Linked DNA regions of Drosophila melanogaster. The protein of the gene in region 2 purifies or fractionates together with the protein of the main gene of each other region. This does not show direct contact. Each region holds a gene or a part of one and is shown on either strand. Other genes may lie near its edges.

Region 1 (7,482 bases), on a different chromosome or scaffold from region 2:
TCTAAGCGTATGTGTTCCTTAAAATAGTATCCATAATAAGATTTATGCACTGCCTCGAACCATGATTCTTAGCCACCTGGTCCTCCAGCGTCTTTTTTGTGCACATACGTGATCCCCTGCTCATCCGTATAGACGTGATCTGCTGGCGACGATGCGTGATGGAACTGACCACCTACTCCTGGCACCTTGTATACGCCATCGTTCTGCCCCCGAATGTAGACTTGATTGCCGGGTGTTCCGAAAACGTGAGGCCCATCATGTCCGTCGTATGTCCGCTGGAGATCGGCAGCTGAGGGAGCAATGGAATCGTCGATTAGTCTCCGTTTGGGCGAGACCATGGTAAAGGGATTTTTCACCAACGCACAAAACAGCGCAAGCGATCGGCACGAGAAGTCCAAGCAAATGCATTGTCATCTATGTTCCCTGAGTGAATGGTGAGCTCTAACAACTAACTGGCTTGACTTGCTCGTCGTGGTATTTATAAGTAGGTGCGCAGTAGTCCAACATCAGGTTATTCATCAAATTGGCGACAGCATCTCAAAAATTCACAAACGCCGCTGGTGATAGGGGAGGGCGAATGAGAATTTCAAAGGAATTGAATCGATTGACGTGCACGATCCCTGAACACATCTGTTGCCCGCTTTTGCCTATTAGCCCGATTGTGGATTTGATAAGCAACTTAGATTCGCATCAACGATCAATAAAGCATCACTGATAAGAAATACAACTTTTATGCTTTGTTTTGATTTTGTTATAAAGATAGACAAATACAACATGAAATACCAGGAGCTTCGTAGCAAATAGCAACGCATTAAAACATAATAAAATTGGGAGAAGCCGGGATTTTTTCAGATCGGTGTAGCGTTTGTACTGACGATAACGTTGATTATGAGTTTCGTCGAATTGGCATCGGGTTTGGCGACGAATCAGTCCTCTGGAACCTTCCACTGCAGCTGCTTTCCGCGTTCGTAAAGATTCTTGAGAGCGTTGGCAAACTTCTTCTCCTCCTGCAGCTTCAAATAGTGCTTGTAGAGCTGCAGAGTGGTCCGTGCATCTTCGATGGAGTCGTGCGTCTCGGACTGAATCTTAGTACCTTTGGCATTAGGAAAACCCAATTAGATACAATTCCAAATCGAAGAAAACCCCTATACAAACCCAAGAAATGCCAGGCTAGAAATCTTAGGGAAACCATGCGATGATGTGGCATGTGAAACAGGTGCACCGTATCTATTATCTGCTCCGACGGTACATAGATGTTTATGACCCTGCAATCACATGGAAGTTTAGTGGTCTATTGGTTCCTTACAAAGCAGGGCATCCCACCTAAAGTCGTTCTTCAGACCATGTCCGACAAATATTACTCCTACGTCAACGAGGTATTTTAATTTCTGGTATGAGTACTTCAAGGCAGTCAGTCGCTTTTTGCTGAAGTTAGCGTCCAAGTCGCCAGGCTTGATTCCCGAGAACTGAGTTAGGTAGTCCACGACCTTCTCCTGGGTGGATATGTAATCGTCCATGAATGGAACTCCTTCAGCCGGGCCTTGTCTGTAAAGAATTCATACCCGTGCTTATCGAGATGAATATTTTTAAGTTTCAGTTAATGAATTACCCTCGTATACATGAAATCCGGGCCACACTCATGTGGCATGGCTTAATGGTCGCCGTTTTGCCATCCGGGCGAATCTCATTTTCCTCTGGATTTAGGGTAACGAACTCGGCATCCATTGCGACCAGATCACCCGACTGCGGCATTTCATCTGACTGCAGGGGCTGCAGCGTGGCGTCTGCACTTAAGTTGCCTAGCATAGGACTCACAATTTCCTGGTAGGATTAAGATTCAGATTAGCATTCAGCAGACTCAATGCTATATTAAACTATTAACCTCTAGAAAAGGGTTGGATAGATTTGTTGGCGAGCCGCTGCTGCTCTCTGATGGAATGGTTTCTTCACTTTCCGTGACGGTCGAGCTAGTAGTACTAGCAGACTCAGAGTCATCCTCTACGTGTCTGTAGAAGAGTATGCAAGGAACTTTCCAATCCAATGTGAACCATACCGATTCTTGTGGCGAAACGGGCGATATGCTGTTGAGCGATATATGAGCAATATTAATCGAAGGCCATTCACAATAGAGATCTAACTTACCTAAAATCATTAAAAATATACCATTGACTCTGAGGGTCATCTGCAGATTCAGCCAGTTTCATGGTGTGGTATGGCCGCTGCACATTTATCAACGATACCAAGTTCTTTTGGGTACCATCATCGACTTGGCACACCACGGCATGCAGCGCGTACATCCGATTGTTGTCCAAGCCCTTTGTTGGTGGCTTTTCCGTTTCCTCCTCCTGTTCCGATTTGCCACTGCTTGCATCTGATTGAGTTTGCACCTGCACCTCACCTTGGTCATTGATGCCCATAGTAAATGTAAGGGGAAACCAGGACTTTTGGCGTCCATTGGGAGAATTGTTGACAGCATTCGGTTGGCTTGTGTGCGATGGAGATTTTCTGCACAGTAGGTACAACAATATGCATAAGACGACTGATTCAGTTTCGATTCGTCGTAACTCACCGATCCGGATGCATGAAATGGCAGTCACTTCGCGAACAGTTGGCTCCATATCGACACGGCTTGCTTGTGCTCAAGGAAGCGGCCGCATCAACAGTCGTCTTTTCGCTGCAGCGATTGAGCTGGCGCTTCAGGAAGGTAATGTCTTTTTCGTTGTTGAGGCCACAGTTAATGGACAGAATTTGCGGAAGCGAAGTCACCTGAAATTCAGATGCATTACATATGTAACTTCTTGCTTGGTTCACTATAAAGTTAGCTCCCGACCTTCACGCTCTGATTGGTTGGCGAAAACTTCTTACATCTCTCGCAGAAGGCCTGAATACTCTTCTCGGAGCTGAGAGATCGCTTCAAAATGGTGCCAAAGTTGAAATACTGATCACTATCTTTGATGTGGTTGGGATACGACAAATTGCAGGCAAGTAGAATGCTTTCCTTTATCTTCTCTTCTTGGCATTTGATGCAGCGGTTTATACAGATTTGCTTGGTCCCAAAGATCTTACTGATGTCAGTTTCTGCGTTGATCTTACTGCGTTCCCGATCGTCCTCCTTGGAGTTCTCATCTGTTCATATACGTACATATGATTAGAGTGTTAGTTAAACCATTAATTCACCTGCCCACCACTTATGGAATCGTAAAGGTCCGAGGAGCCACTTGTTTCTGAAGAGCCCGCGTTTTCCGCTGCAAAATAAATCGAAGTTTCACTTATTTGTAAAGGATAAACTCGGCTGTGGTTACCGTTCGTTGATGTTTGCACAGATCCGCTGTAGGTGGATGCGTTCTTGCTAGAATCGAATATTTCGTAATGCATTTGATGCAAAATGAATCGGTTCCAGTTCTGAGAGTGTGCATAAATTAAATATCTGCTTAGGAAACCATGGTATTACTTGCCTGTATCAGCGATATTAGATTGACGTTCGATGAGCGGTCGGTGAGAATCAATCCCAGTGCCGAGGCCTCTGGCACAGTGCGGAAAGATCGCAGGAAATTGCTGGCCTGGCAAGGTGAAGAAGCTGAAAGGAGCACACATAAATACTTAAACTAAGGATAGTTAAGTTACACAAGCAAACTAACCGGTACTTTTATCCAGCATGTTGAAGAGGAACCCTAGTTCGCAGGACAGGCAAAACTCCTTGATGCACGAATGCTCCAGCAGCTTCACGCGAAGCGCGTCGGTGAAATACAAAATCTGTAGCATAGCATTGCAGTAGGAGTTCGGTAGCGTTGCCTCCAGCCCCGCGAAACATGTTTGATTATGCTGGTCAAAGTCAAAGTCCTGGGTGCCCAGCTTCGTGTACTTCAGCTCGACTTTGCGATACCGCCGTGGAATGATTTTCACACCGTTCTCCGCCTTGGTCGCCGCCGCAGTTCCATTTCCGTTCGGACTGCACACGCCGCCCTGCTCAATCACGTACGGAATTTGATTACGACGGGCGGTGCGTGGGTTTGGCGAGTATCCAATCGGTCCCTGCATTTTCATGTTGCTCAGCACTTCGGGATCAATGGTCTTGGGCCTGTGGTAGCGGTAGCGCAGCAGTTCCTCCGGCCAATCTGAGAACCATTGTGTGCCCGTCGTCAAGTGCGGTAGCATGACCGACGATAGCGGAAAGTTGGTGTCCGTAATGGAGACCATCGGCAGCTGTGGCACCACGTCCGCAAACTCTGTGCTTCGCGAGTAGAGATTGAACTGCGGCTGAGGCGTTTGTACAGCGGCAATCATGTTGATGTGGCCCGACTGGTCCCCAAATGCCATGGCCTGTGAAGAGGAGCTAATGTCGAAGCTGAGGCACTGGCTGCCGTTGGTGTTGATCTGGTACATGGATACTCGCGGCTCGCTGAGCTCCACAGTGTCCACCAGCTGAACCTGGCCGTAGCTGGACACGACGGCCAGTTGGGATGTCAGCGATGGCAGGAACTTCAACATCTGCGGATCAATCATCACTTGAATGGGCGCGATCAGGCGCAGCATGCGCAGATCGTAGACCATTAGGAAGCGGTCGATGGCCAGGTTATTTTGCCTTCCGCTGTAGCCGCAAGAGATTAGCAGATTTCCCTGGACACTGAAGTCCGAAAGGATGTTGGTGTGCGTCTTGATTGTGTGCTGAACACTCAGGCTGTTCAGGTCGCGCAACGTTACCGTTCCCAGCTGGTCGCCGGCAAACAGATAACGTGAATTCTTGCGTAGCACCGTGCATCCGCCGGCACCCACATGCTCTATGCGGGTTTCCTTGAGCGTGCGCAGGTCGAAGTCGATAAGCTCGTCCTGCAGTCCGGCCATGACCAGACGATGCGGTGATAGCTGCAGCATGCTCACCATCTCCTTCATGTTGTTCGATCTGCAAGAAATTGAAACCTCACTTTCGGGGAATCTTTGTGCCAGCGCGGTGGCTTACTTGAAGGTAAACTTGGGCAGACCCCTGCGGATCTGATGACGCAGCGAGGTCTGCGTGAGCGCCAGCACTCCGGAGTCCAGGGTGGAGATGTCGCGCACAATGTCGGTGGCGTGGACCTGAAAGGATGTGTACTTCTGCATGGAGTTTGTGTAGTACGATGTGACGTGGCCCTGCGGGAAGGAGCGAAGATTCAGGATTAGTAAGCCTGGCAGGCTGGACGAGGAACTCACGCCCTGGTTGCCCATCCACAGCAGCTCTTCGTAGTCGTCGAACGCCACGCTGGAAACGCCGAAGTGCTCCCCGCCGTCGGCAAGCACGGGCACAAGCTCCACATATTCCGGATCGGTGGTGCCGATGTTGAATCCATTGAAGCTGGGCGAAAAGTGCCCGTTTCCCGGCGCAGATCCCGCGTCATAAACACCTTTTCAAAAAGTAAACAGAAAACAAAGGAGAAAGCTTTAGCTGGCTTGCGTGTGTGTGTGCGTGTGGGTGAGCGTTGGCCCCAAAGCGACCCCTTGACCCACTTAGTATGTCTTCGGAGGCCCCGATGGGGTCGGTGCCGCAATACACGTAATCCATCTGCCGCACGCCGATGCCCACGCGACTTTTTATTGTTTATTTTTTAACAAATTTCGCTCAAAACTGCCAGCCGTTTTTGCGTTGCACCGATTAGAGTGACCCTGGCAGGGCTGATGTAAAAATACTCTCGCTTCTCCGCCAACGAACTACCTGTCCAACGCTGCGCGACGCCACTGTGCGTGGCAAGAAGAAGCACTGCAATGCTGCGTAGAGCTGCCACGACTGTGGGATCCGCATGTAAAAATTACGGCCAGAATTGCTCAAAATTCGCGAGAAACAAAAGAACAATGGCCGATCTGCAGCAGATTGCAAGCAACAACGAGCGCGCCGAGGCGCTGATCAACTCCATTGAAGCCGAGGCAAGTATTTCCGCCTGCCAGCGCCTGCGAACACTCGATAACCTACTGCCCCCCAGATTTCCGGCATCCAGCAGCAACTTGTGGAGCGCCAGAAGCAGGAGCTGATCAAGGAGAACGCTGCACTGGCCAAGGAAGTTGAGGCGGCTTTGGCCCAGCTGGTGCAGCTGGAGCTGCGAAATGGCAAGAAACAGATTCCGGTGCCTGGAGCCCGGGGTTTCTGCACCAGTGCGGCCCCAGTAGTTATGCCGGCAGAGGCTGGACCTGCTACCGCTGCACCCGCTGCCCCGGCTCCTAAGCCGGCCAAGGAGCCCAAGGAAAAGAAGTCCAAGGAGAAGAAACCGGCCGCCGAGAAGCCCGCCGCCGCTCCGGAGGCTCCCGTCGACGTCGGTCGCCTGGATTTACGCGTGGGCAAGATTGTGGAGGTGGGTCGCCATCCCGACGCCGACAGCTTGTATCTGGAGAAGATCGACTGCGGCGAGGCGGCTCCACGCACCGTGGTGTCCGGTCTGGTGAAGTTCGTGCCCCTGGAAGAGATGCAGAACCGTCTGGTAGTGGTCATGTGTAACCTGAAGCCGGCCAAAATGCGCGGCGTCACCTCGGAGGCTATGGTCATGTGCGCATCTACACCGGAAAAAGTGGAAGTGCTCAGTCCGCCCGCCGGAGCTGTTCCCGGCGACCTGGTTCACTGCGAGGGCTATCCGCGCCAGCCAGACGCCCAGCTCAACCCCAAGAAGAAGATCTTTGAGTCGTGCGCCCCGGATCTGAAGACCAACGGCGAACTGGTTGCCTGCTACAAGGGCGCCGCTCTCCATGTTCCTGGCAAGGGCAACGTGGTGGCCCAAACCCTGAAGAACGTCAATGTGAAGTGAGCCAATAAACGAAACTAAAGCTTTGAGCCAATAAACGAAACATCACCGCCTGCACACCATTTCAGTATCAGAACTTCATTATCATTCAGTTTCTAGTACCAGTGAAGAGTAGCTCTACAGGAATATCGGAAGCTCTACTGATCATTGGGATTACTGGTTATGTTTGATTATCGTGCAGATTCTGAGGTATTCATGTGATATTTTATTTTATTTCACACGACAGCAGTACATAACGACATTAAATTTATCATTAACAAGTCTATTTATATGTGCATAGGAAGTGCATAGGAGTGCGCCATTCCTACACACTTTGGCTGGTTTAAGTGCCGTCCTCAGCGATTATTGCGCTGCGCTTGCCCTTGGGTGCGGAACACGGCAATGGAATTGCTCTCCACCACAATCGTTTTGGTTAGGACGTCGTAGGCGGTGCGATTGTTCTTGAAGAAGACCATCAACACGCAAATGGGGAAGAGCAGGGTCATCCCCAGGTTCTTGATCAGCGCGCGGGCGAAGGAGCGCATCAGCGAGGGAGTCTGTGGCGGATAAAGCAGAGCCCTCATCGGCTCCCTCTGCGGCTGGAGGACGAACTGTGGAAGGGGCGGCCCCTGAAGCGGCATCACTGCTTCCACATAGTATATGCGTATCTTCATCAGCGACTTGCCCGGCGTAGCCCCTTGGTATAGGTATGTCCACAGCGCTTCGTAGCAGCAAACGATGA
Region 2 (5,215 bases):
GACCGGGACCTCCAGGACCGATGCCCGAGCCAGATGTTCCGACACTGGTGCTGGCAGTTGCTACACTTTGACCAACCATTTTGTTGATACCTTGCAACTGGTTATGGGACATTTGTGGATGATGACCCCACATTTCAGAGGTCCCATTAAGACGACCAGATATTCCACGGGGATCTCCTCGAATAGGGTCACGCGGATCGATCATGCGAATGTCTCGTGGATCGCTCGAAGTTGCTCCAGAACCGTTACCGCCGCGATGTTCAACATTTCGAATATCCATGGAGCCACCAACTCCCAAAGGGCGTATTTCACGAGGGTCTCCCCAACCGTTACCAGCGTTGCTGGAGTTTCCGCTACTACCTGTTGCGACTCCAGACGATCCAGTTATATTGCTTGACCCGTTACCTCCTTAAATAACAGCAGAAATATAAAAGTATTTCGGGTTAATGAAATAAAAGTTTCTGTAGAACTTAGAATAGGTAATTCCCCAGATAAGGCTCCAACTTCAATTACTACACTTTATGTTTTTATCATGTATTGTTAGTCACATTTTGAGGGAAAAGCTAGAGCCTTTATCTGATCGTTTGCGCTTAACTTCATTAATTCTAATAGATATTAGGCCTACCAGTTGATCCAAGTCCGACGCCAACGACACCTTGTCCCCACTGAGGTCCGCCAGACGAAACAACACCGCCTGGACCGACATTAACTCCGGCTTGGTTTACTCCCACTGCAGCTCCGGATCCCGCGTTGCTAACAGCTCCTCCAGTCCACACACTACTACTATCGGCGCCATCGTCGTCCTCACCCCATGTTCCACCTAAGTTAGAGGATGGTGTATGACCCCACGACGGCTTTGGAACTTGCTGTGCGGCCGGCTGACCTCCGTTTCTCAAATTGGACTCCCAAAGATCAGTACCATTGTTAATGCTTGGCTTCCACATTGGTGGACCGGGTGCATCCTTATTGGCTGGTTCTGGCGAACTGGGAACTTCCCAATTAGTATCCTGGTTAACATGCTGACAGCCCCAGCCATCTTGGGAAAAAAGGGCTTCACGCATAGTGCTCAAGTGTTCTAACTGATTGTCAGCTTCAAAAGTAGCATTCCTTACTATTCCAACATCCACTTGATCTTTAACTTCATTATCATAAGCATTTATGGCAATTTTTAAAAGTTATTTAATTTAATCGAAAAGGAATGACTTAATCTGAATCCTTGTTCTTTCCGTGTTCTGTAGAAATATAGAAAACATTTATTATTTTTATTACAAAATATTCATTCTAAATCAAATTGCTAAGTTCTTTTTTTATTTTCTTGTATATACACAGGATAAATAAACTTAATCACCGTGATACGTTTATGCTTTATACACATTATTAATAGAGTAAAATGGTATATGGTATACCAGATTTGTTCTAAAGTATGTTACATAGCGGAAGCGTTTTCGACATAAAAGCTAGACAGTTGAGAATAAGCATGCAGATTCTAGTGACCCCTACGTTGTGCACGTTTGTTTTTAGTTTTTCTATTGTTCGTTGTTCTTAAAAAATTTTTTAATTCTGATCAGCTTTTCGTAGGCTTAATCAATATCTTCTTTACAGATTTTTAACTGCATAACATCAGTTAAAATTCTGAAGGAGAAATCATAAAAATTTAAGCTTTATAATCGATTCAAAAAGTCTGAGGACATACATATGGGTATATAAGAGTGGGAGTCATTTGACAGGAGTTAAACATGTATACTTAGTATGTACATAAAGAATTTTAAAAATGAAATATGCATCGCGATCGCTGACCTACCAGGTCTGCTGCCCAACCGGCAGAATCCCCACCCACATTAACGACAAATTCCTGTGTGAAAAACGAATGCATGTCAAAAAATAAAACAATTAAATTCACAACTCTGTAATGGTATATAAATATACATATGCATATGTACACAAGTAAAATGAATTTGTCAACTCTGGGCAGGCAGACATTGACGGAAGCACCCTATTTTATGTCTCCCTTTCCTAATTTCGCACTTGCAATTATGCTCAAATAAACTTAGAATTTAAAATGTATTTACACAACCTGTATATATGCAAGTATTGGCAAAAAGACTAATGCGATAGATATATACATGTATATACATTTGTATGAATACATTTTCAGTACTCTAGTGCATATGTAGAGAAGTCATTGTACAATACTTAGTATATTCGCGTGTCTTGTACCCTATGTGTAGAAATACAAGCGAAAAGCTGAGAACGTCACAAAATGGAGATCTAACTAAAACCTACCAAACAGAAATTAGAAATTAATATCTATTGCCAGAATATGCGTTTATAGTAAAATTGAACACTTGTGTATACGCTAATAGTTCACCGAATATTTGCAACAATTTTTGCCTTTACTGAACGAGAAGTTGATTTTCTCTATATATGTAAATATATGTGCATTTTTGTGTGTATGCATGTCAAGCCACTTTGACGAGTTCACAAAGTGTGTATGTGTTGTAAAACATACACACATTCGACAATCAATTATAGTTTTTCATATTTCACAAAATAAACTGGGATTAATAACAATCTTGAATGCGAAAACTGATTAGACTCAACAATAATTATAATTCGATGTAATTGAATATAAATTTCTGCGCACGTTCGACGATGGGGACGGCAGTTACTAGTGTATTAAATAAACCCATACAGATATTCCTGCTTGCAATATTGCCACCTAGTCAAAATTTAAAGACGGAATGGAAAGGTATGTGGAGTATAGACTAATGCAAATATGCAAAATGCTTACTTTATTTTTAATTACACTATTACTAAATTTTAACTGTTGGTGTGGAAAACCTCAAAGCAAATGCGACACATTTAAATTCCCTATTGCTTTGTCATTATGTAAAAGATTTAAAGCGTGGCAACTCTTGACTGGAACATATGTACATATAGACTTTTCCAATGCACGATACACAAGCGAACAGAATTTATTCTGCACTGATACACACATGCGTATGTCCGAAACTAAACGCTTGGGTTTTTGCGACCATTTAGGTTATGCACACTTAGGTTATGTCAGAAAGTTTCGCTTTTAATCGTACTGAGTACGTCTTCAACCATACATTAAAATTATTCTACTTCAATTTAGCTGCATTACTCCGTACATTCTATCCGTGGTGGGCTGTTGGCAATCTTTTCGTTTTAATGACAAAGCGCTTGTTTTCGAAAGATTACGCACACAAAAACATTCACTACTCGTGCTAATTCATTTTAACACACGCAATTTAAATAAAAAGTAACTATACGATGCTCTCACTCGCACTTCGCCTGGATCACGACAGACTCTTCTAGGTAGATGTCCGATATTTTCTTAAACTAATCGATATTAATCAATCTTAGGTAATACCCAGTTTACACAACTGCCTAAAATAAGTGCTGTGACCCGTTCACATCGAAGAGGTCAGATAGAGGGTACACAACAGAAGGATTAATTGATTAAAATAAATTAGCTGATATAATTTAAATTAATTCAAAACAGAGCTGTTTCAAACAAGTTCCAACTCATATAACTCTCGACCATTTCTAACAATTCAAATGAAATTTAAGGGATTAAAACAATACAGTGAGATAACATATGCATTAATAAATTTTAAAGCTTGAATGCCTTATTGAAGTGAGAATTGAAACAGGTTTGGGCAATCCATTAAATTCATAACTTATTTTATTAAGTCTATGTTAAAAAAGAATCCTTAATAATGTAATGTATAAAGTTTGGACTTACGACCGATTAATATTAATGTGTATGTTTTGGTGTTTTGCCTTGAAATCAAATGAAATTATGTTCTAAAATATCGGCTCTCCTTCGACTATCTATGAGATTTAAATAGGTTTTACCAATTGCTAAGAAAATCGAAACCCTTAGGCATTTTTAGTTCAGGGGATAACAGTTTTGTATTTTCGTCTTGACGTGCATCTTTAAATTCGTTTTCATAATCAGACAAGTCGTTTAACACACTGTTTTTCGATCCACATTTAACGAGCAGTTGCATTTTCTCATTAGATTCAATACATTCATCAATATAAACAGTTTGGGTTTTTGAGAAGTTTTCATGAATGGAAATCTTTCTTTCCGTTGTGTTAACGCCGGTTTTATCATTAGAATTAAGGTGGAGAATTGGTATTTTTTTATTGGTTGAATCTTTTGTCTTCAATTTTAAATGAATGGCCTTTTTTACGCCTAATGGAGTTTCAACAAGACAGATATCATCAAATTCTTTTAATACTATGTTAATTTGTGATTTGGTTCGATAAGAAAATGGAAACGAATGTTCATCTTGAAAATCTCCGGTGTTTTCATCGCGTAATATTTTTAAACCAACGTTTTGATAATTATATGTGTGTAAATCTTGGCCGTTATATAAATATACAATGTCTCTGAAACAAAATTTACGGTAATCATTTTTACTAACTTCAGTATTTTCGTACGGATCCTGTGCCGCATAGTTTTCTTTAGTCTTATGACAGTACTTAGAAAATATAACAGGATCTATTAATTGGTTATTCAATATTTTTTCCTGTTCGTTTAAAGTCAATTTAAGCCAAGCGTCTTGGTTGTATGTAGATTTAACTTTATTGAGATCGCAGGTAATTTTTTCGGAAATTGAATTAAGACGTGAGAAGTATGACTGAGCCTCATCGTGTGTTGTCATTTTTGATCTGAAAATAAATATGGTTTGCTGTATTAAATGGTTAGCGGAACGTTAGATTCTATCATAAAATCGAATAATTATATTAACCTGAATTCTTGAAAAAGTATTTATAATTCTTTTATACTCTTCACTCGTAAAGTAAGGGGGTTATTAAAAATTAAAAAAGAACATAACAGGTGAACAAAAAGGTTTCCGAGACTAGTTAATGAACTTCGGGATTTGGACACTATATGATGTCCAAACCGAAAACAAATGCAATAAAAAAGAAATATATAACCTTAGAATCAAATTAGCCCACCTCTCCTTTATTTACATTACTAATTTTTGGTAGCCAGAGGAGTGCTTCCCGACATTACAACATTCATAGGGGCAGACGGAAGTATCAACTCGGATGGGTGTTTCTTTCTAATCTAGACACATACATATGTATGTATATACTACATAGGGTTTATGTGTGTTTAAATTGATATGGGCGTTACAGTTTTGAACGATTTGTAGGTATTTGGTTAAAATTGTTT
Region 3 (5,119 bases), on a different chromosome or scaffold from region 2:
TTTTTTATCTTAAAAAAATTATTTCTTTCTTGCTATTCTCGAAACAGTGTGAGTGCGGAATAAGTAGACAGCTATCCCTCTCATTTGCGTGTGGAATGAATAAAGATTACTAATTCAAATATGGGGCAAGAATTCCAATTCGATCAGAGACCCTGCTCTATTCTCACCTTTTGCAGCAGATCTCGCAGGTGTGCTCCAGTTGATCGGTGTCGTGCTTGGCCAGATGATTGGCCATACGGCGCTCGCTGCTGAAGGTGCGTTCGCACTTGGGGCACGGGAACTTGAGCACCTTGCCGATTTGAGCCACCTTGTTGTGCACCGTCTCGATATGAGTGGCCAAGTAGTCCTGCGAGTTGAGCGACTTCTTGCAAATGGTGCAGCTATGGGATTTTAAAGTCTATGTAGCAACAGACAGAACCCTCGGGCTTCAAACTCACGTAAATAGCTTGGGGTTGATATGTTTGCGGATGTGGTCCATCAGCTTGGAAGCGCGTGTAAAGACTTTGCCGCAGCACTTGATGTAGTACTCGCGCTGGTGCACCTCCAGGAAGTGGGTCTTCAATTCGGATAGGTAGGGAGCACTAAATTCGCACAGGTCGCAGCTTGCACTCATGTAGCTAGCAATGGCCTTCTCGTAGCTCTTGGCCAGCTGAGCACGGGAGCAGCCCTTGGGCTTGCGCTCGAGAACGGCCTGTAGCTCGGACTCCTGCGACTCGGTGGTTGTTCGCTGGTCAGGTGCCTTCCTGCGCCGACGCTTGCCACCATCGTCGAGCAGATCTGCAAGCTCCTGCTGCAGCGATATCGGACCCTGATCCTTGGAGGAACGTGCCGAGGTTTTGCGCTTGGGCTTCATTTTCGATTTCAGACGGACCAGGGGTTCATCTGCAATGGAACAGGAACTTAGTTACGGCTAATCCTTGGGAAACATTAAGATAATAACCATCTGAGGAGTCAGATTCAGATTCCGGCTGCCCCTCGGTCACCTCCGGTTCGCTATCACTAGCTTGCAGGCAGGGCTTCTCGTCCTCCTCCTCCTCGCAGGGCAGCTGCTCCTTGATCGGTTCCCTGACTTCCACACTGTCCACATTCACGTCCAGCACGCTTCCCAGCAGACTAAGGTTGTGCAGGTCCAACGGTTTCTCGTCCATGTCGCCAGCCGCCAGCGGCAGTTCGTCGATGTTGACGTCCACGTCCACACCGCCCGTCCACTTCATGGCCGCACAGTCGACGTCCACGGTAAGGAACTCCTTCTTGAGTGAGCACTGCTTCTGCTCCACCAGCTGCCAGAAGCCATTGAAGTCCTCCAGATGCTCACAGCACTCGGTACAGACGCTGGTCGAGATGCCGTCGTCTGGTAGGATCTGCATGGGATGGCTTATTGGAATTGTTTTGATACCATTGGTATTTGCCAGATACACTCACCTCCAGCTGCAGAAACTTCGCAATCATCTTGACCAGGCGCGTCTCCGCAAGCGTATCGTCCGTCTCAAAGAGGAAGACAGCGCTTCCGGGACTAAGACATCGCAGGCAAAGGCGACAAATCATTTCGCGCGAACAGAACCACAACGCAAAGTCAAATAAATAAAAAATTTAAACAGTTTTTCGTTGTAAACAACATAATTCACCTATCGTGAATCGATAACAGAATCCAATTGTGAATGGCAAAACTTCATCTCAGGAGTTTTTTGCGGGGTGGCCACCCTGATCGTTGAGTATTTCTCTTTAATTTCTCTTACAATTTATGGTCTACGTTTTTAATTGTCTGCAAAATACGCTGTAAACGATTATCCATTAATTAAAAATCGAAAATATGAAACTTAATATATCGCTGGATACACATCAAAACGATGGCATTCTGCGGACGGTCAGGCAGCACGCCAATCGACCCACACAACTCTGGCAACGCTTGCCGTAAAATGGCAAAAAAATAATACATACGATTTAAAACTAATGGACAATTACGTATTACGTGAAAAGAACGCAACGCAAATAATCAAAACAAATAAGAAACGCAACTCGTGTGCGTGTGTAGTGTGTGTGCAGAGCTAAAACCTAGCGAAGGAAAGGCAAAAACCCGTGGAAAAAGCGAATTCAAACGGGTTTACTCGAAGCCTCCTCACCCGATACCATTTTCCACCTACACTTGCAAAAAAGCGACAGCGCGCGAGAGGGACGGCGCGAGTGAGCGGAGAGTGGGAGAGCGCAGTGCAAGTGAGTGGGAGCGAGAGCGCTGACAAAGCCAGCGCAACATAGCGAAAATCGCAACCAAATCGAAATCGAAATTCAACCAAATCGAAGATTCTGGCGAACAAAGGCGACTAACAACAACAACTGCAGCAGCGGCACGTCTCGTCTTGGTTGCGCTCTCTTTTGTTTTCGTCCCGTGTTTTAACAAGCGGCGAAACGGGCGCTGAGTAAGCGCCAGAAAGAGTGCAAAAAAAAGGCGAAGGAAAGAAAGAAGCCAAGGAGCAACGAACTGTGTTTGCGGTGTGTGCTCTGCGTGCGAAAGGGTAAGCTCTATGGTCTCTCATGCTCTCGCTCTGGAAGTAGGCCGGAACCGAGATTTGTTTGCTAAATTATGTTTAATTGCACAGCGGGTTTGTAAATCTGTGATTTTGTTTGTAGAAAATACGCATTGTATCAAAGAAATATTTTTGTCGGTTCTGTCAAATTCGACGTGTGGGAGTGGGAGGGAAGTTCAGCTAGTCATGTTGTCCCGCTCTATATCGCAAACAGCGTTGCATTTGTCGTCGGCAGGTCATCGTGGTCCGTTTTCTCTTTTTGTCGGCATCGATGCATAGAGTCCGTGTTAATTTCCGTTTAATCGCTAAATAGCACGCTCTCTAATTGTTTAATAATTGCCAGGCGACTGCCACCCCCGGAATTAGTTTCACTCGGCGGTCTGGCTGGATCCCAACGGACCAGGTGGCAACGCCGCGCTCCACACCACTCACGCACGCAATACATTCGAAAAGTGAGAAGTGGTAGAGGAAGAACTCGAGGAAGAAGAATTAGCGGCAAACTTTATGTTGGACGGTGAAAAGCAGAATCAAAAGATATCAATTTCCGCGAAGTTAACAGTTAAATAACCAACATACAGGCGGCCAAGTGTGCCAGCAGACCGCGAAACATTCGAAGTAAACAAATTCAAGCGTTTTCCATTCAGTTTATCATCGCTGCCCAACAAACGAAACTCCCCGAGTGTATTGCTGTGTGCGTGCGTGCTGTTTAAACGGTATATTTTACTCGTCTCTCCTCTTTGTTTGCCTTTGCCAGCCACTGTGCCATGCAAAATTAATAAAAGGATACGGCTGTAAAACAAAAGGTGGTCAAAAAAAAAAATTGCACTCGTCGATTAAATAATAACTATCAAATCCTCTCGGTTTCTGCGAACGTAAGTGTGTGTGTGTGCGTGATGTGTGCGCCTGTGCCTGCGTGGTGTTAGTGTGCGTTGTGCTTGTGAATGGTTGTTATTACAAAAAGGAGACATAGAATTGTTGCCAAGCGTTTAGATTGTCTTGTACTCCCCCCACTTGCATCTGTCAAATTGGTTACATTTTAAATGCCGGCCTTTGTTGTTGTCGCTCTTGTTGCGAGGATTTTACTGGCCCCGTTTTTTCTATTGTTGCTGTAGTTGTCAGCCATTGTTCGGCCGCCCCTTCACGCCCCCTGCCGCAATTATTACAAGACGCCACCGCAAAAAATTCTTTCAATGCGTTGCCGCTTCTGCCGCTGCTGGCGCTGGTGTGTGTGTGTGGGTAAATCTATCTAGCTGTCCCGCTTCCGCTGTCACCCGCCCAAGGCAGCCTCTCAGTTGCGTGTGCTGCGAGGCACTGGCTGTCCTGCTCGCACCAAACATTGCCTGCATTCAGTGTCGGATCAAAGGGGGGAGCGAAACTGGGAAATAGTTGCCCCAAACGTTTTCGTAATAAACGCAATATCAACAAAATACCAAATGATTCTACAAACAGTTTCGAATGGTAGTAGTCGAATGGAATTACACTCTAGTTGTTACTTTAACGAAGCATTAAGAACTTGAACGTATTTCGCAACAGCATGTGTTGGAAAACTACCAAGAAACTTCTTTAGTTTCAGTGGAAATGAAATATCAAAAGCATTTCTACTAAAACTCGGTTTAGTTGAAACCCATACCTATTATTGTTTGAAGAGGTTATTTTCCAAATTATTTGCAATATCTTTCTAAGAAGAACCAATTTTCGCTACAGATCCACCTCTGTAAGCGTTAGTGGTGCGGATCGGTTGGGGGTGGCTAAATAGAGGAGTTCCCGGACACACAATAACCAGCGTGTTGAAAACAATTTGTCGGGAGCACCACCCACTTGCAACTGACTAGCCTCGCCTCGCTACGCCTGCACCTATACTCAATTAAATGCCTATCTACGCTTTTGTATTTTGCAGCCCACCAGAAAGACTGAAACAAGGAGCTTCGGCCCAAAAGCGATCCCAGCTCCTTAAACTCATTCTCGTCAAGAACCACAGCCACATCCTAGCCCATCCTCCAGCGCAGCGGGAAGACGAGGAGCGCGGCGGTGGCGAGAAGGAAGCTAACGCTAATGAGGATCTATTGGCAGCATGAGTACACTGGGGGGAAGTAGGGGAGAGCGAAATGCCAAGCCCAAATTCACAGCGTTAGATATAAATCGCATGTACAAGAATAGCCGCGTAAGTAGCGAGCCCCTAGACCTAGATCTAGATCTACATCTAGATCTTGATAGATCCAAACCTATCTGATCGCCAACTTGTTCTTATTGTTTGCAGGGCGAGTCAAGTGAACCATCTGCACAAAAGAATCAAGTGCCACGTAAACATGGAATGCAAATCTTGGGCAAAGTGCCGTCCGCTAGGCGACCACCAGCCAATTTGCCATCCCTGAAGGCCGAGACCCACACCAGCAGCAACAACAATCTCTTAGTCTCAGTCGAAGGTGGGTGTTCTACGATTTTATCTTATTGAAAGCGTGTGTACTAAGATGTACCTTTAACTGGGTGAATTTTCCATTTTAGGAGCCACATCTGGTGGGGCGGGCGCAGGCGGAGCAGCGGGATCTGGCGCGGCAGGAACCAACACTAGCCACAACAACACCACTGCCCACAGCGGA

The links. The genes of interacting proteins can lie anywhere in the genome.
Region 1: the proteins of gw (region 2) and PAN2 purify together in Drosophila melanogaster (affinity purification with western blotting, with the first as the bait; one study listed by BioGRID). This does not show direct contact.
Region 3: the proteins of gw (region 2) and nocte purify together in Drosophila melanogaster (affinity purification with mass spectrometry, with the first as the bait; one large-scale study listed by BioGRID). This does not show direct contact.

What each region holds. Positions count from the first base shown.
Region 1 is NT_033778.4:8,926,354-8,933,835, reverse strand, and holds PAN2 (Poly(A)-binding protein-dependent poly(A) ribonuclease 2), read right to left. Parts: upstream 5,668-7,482; 5' UTR 5,537-5,667; coding exon 5,482-5,536; intron 5,379-5,481; coding exon 5,188-5,378; intron 5,128-5,187; coding exon 4,958-5,127; intron 4,901-4,957; coding exon 3,639-4,900; intron 3,578-3,638; coding exon 3,456-3,577; intron 3,403-3,455; coding exon 3,303-3,402; intron 3,246-3,302; coding exon 3,186-3,245; intron 3,127-3,185; coding exon 2,831-3,126; intron 2,767-2,830; coding exon 2,570-2,766; intron 2,506-2,569; coding exon 2,143-2,505; intron 2,082-2,142; coding exon 1,883-2,081; intron 1,822-1,882; coding exon 1,610-1,821; intron 1,546-1,609; coding exon 1,324-1,545; intron 1,266-1,323; coding exon 1,156-1,265; intron 1,094-1,155; coding exon 927-1,093; 3' UTR 733-926; downstream 1-732. Other genes in the region: AIMP1 (aaRS-interacting multifunctional protein 1), read left to right, coding at 5,737-5,895, 5,952-6,764; CG8237 (uncharacterized protein), read right to left, coding at 7,097-7,482. UniProt on the Drosophila melanogaster protein: Catalytic subunit of the poly(A)-nuclease (PAN) deadenylation complex, one of two cytoplasmic mRNA deadenylases involved in general and miRNA-mediated mRNA turnover.
Region 2 is NC_004353.4:657,277-662,491, forward strand, and holds the start of gw (gawky), read right to left. Parts: upstream 3,333-5,215; 5' UTR 3,153-3,332; intron 2,708-3,152; exon of another isoform or gene 2,284-2,707; intron 1,233-2,283; 5' UTR 1,062-1,232; coding exon 626-1,061; intron 409-625; coding exon 1-408. Other genes in the region: CG46466 (uncharacterized protein), read right to left, coding at 3,879-4,697. UniProt on the Drosophila melanogaster protein: Required for gene silencing mediated by micro-RNAs (miRNAs). Silences both polyadenylated and deadenylated mRNAs. Required for miRNA-mediated translational repression and mRNA decay. Not required for miRNA target recognition.
Region 3 is NC_004354.4:10,471,444-10,476,562, reverse strand, and holds the start of nocte (no circadian temperature entrainment), read left to right. Parts: upstream 1-1,887; 5' UTR 1,888-2,510; exon of another isoform or gene 2,511-2,625; intron 2,626-2,975; exon of another isoform or gene 2,976-3,394; intron 3,395-4,419; 5' UTR 4,420-4,593; coding exon 4,594-4,683; intron 4,684-4,779; coding exon 4,780-4,945; intron 4,946-5,024; coding exon 5,025-5,119. Other genes in the region: CG2889 (uncharacterized protein), read right to left, coding at 168-380, 438-882, 941-1,361, 1,423-1,545.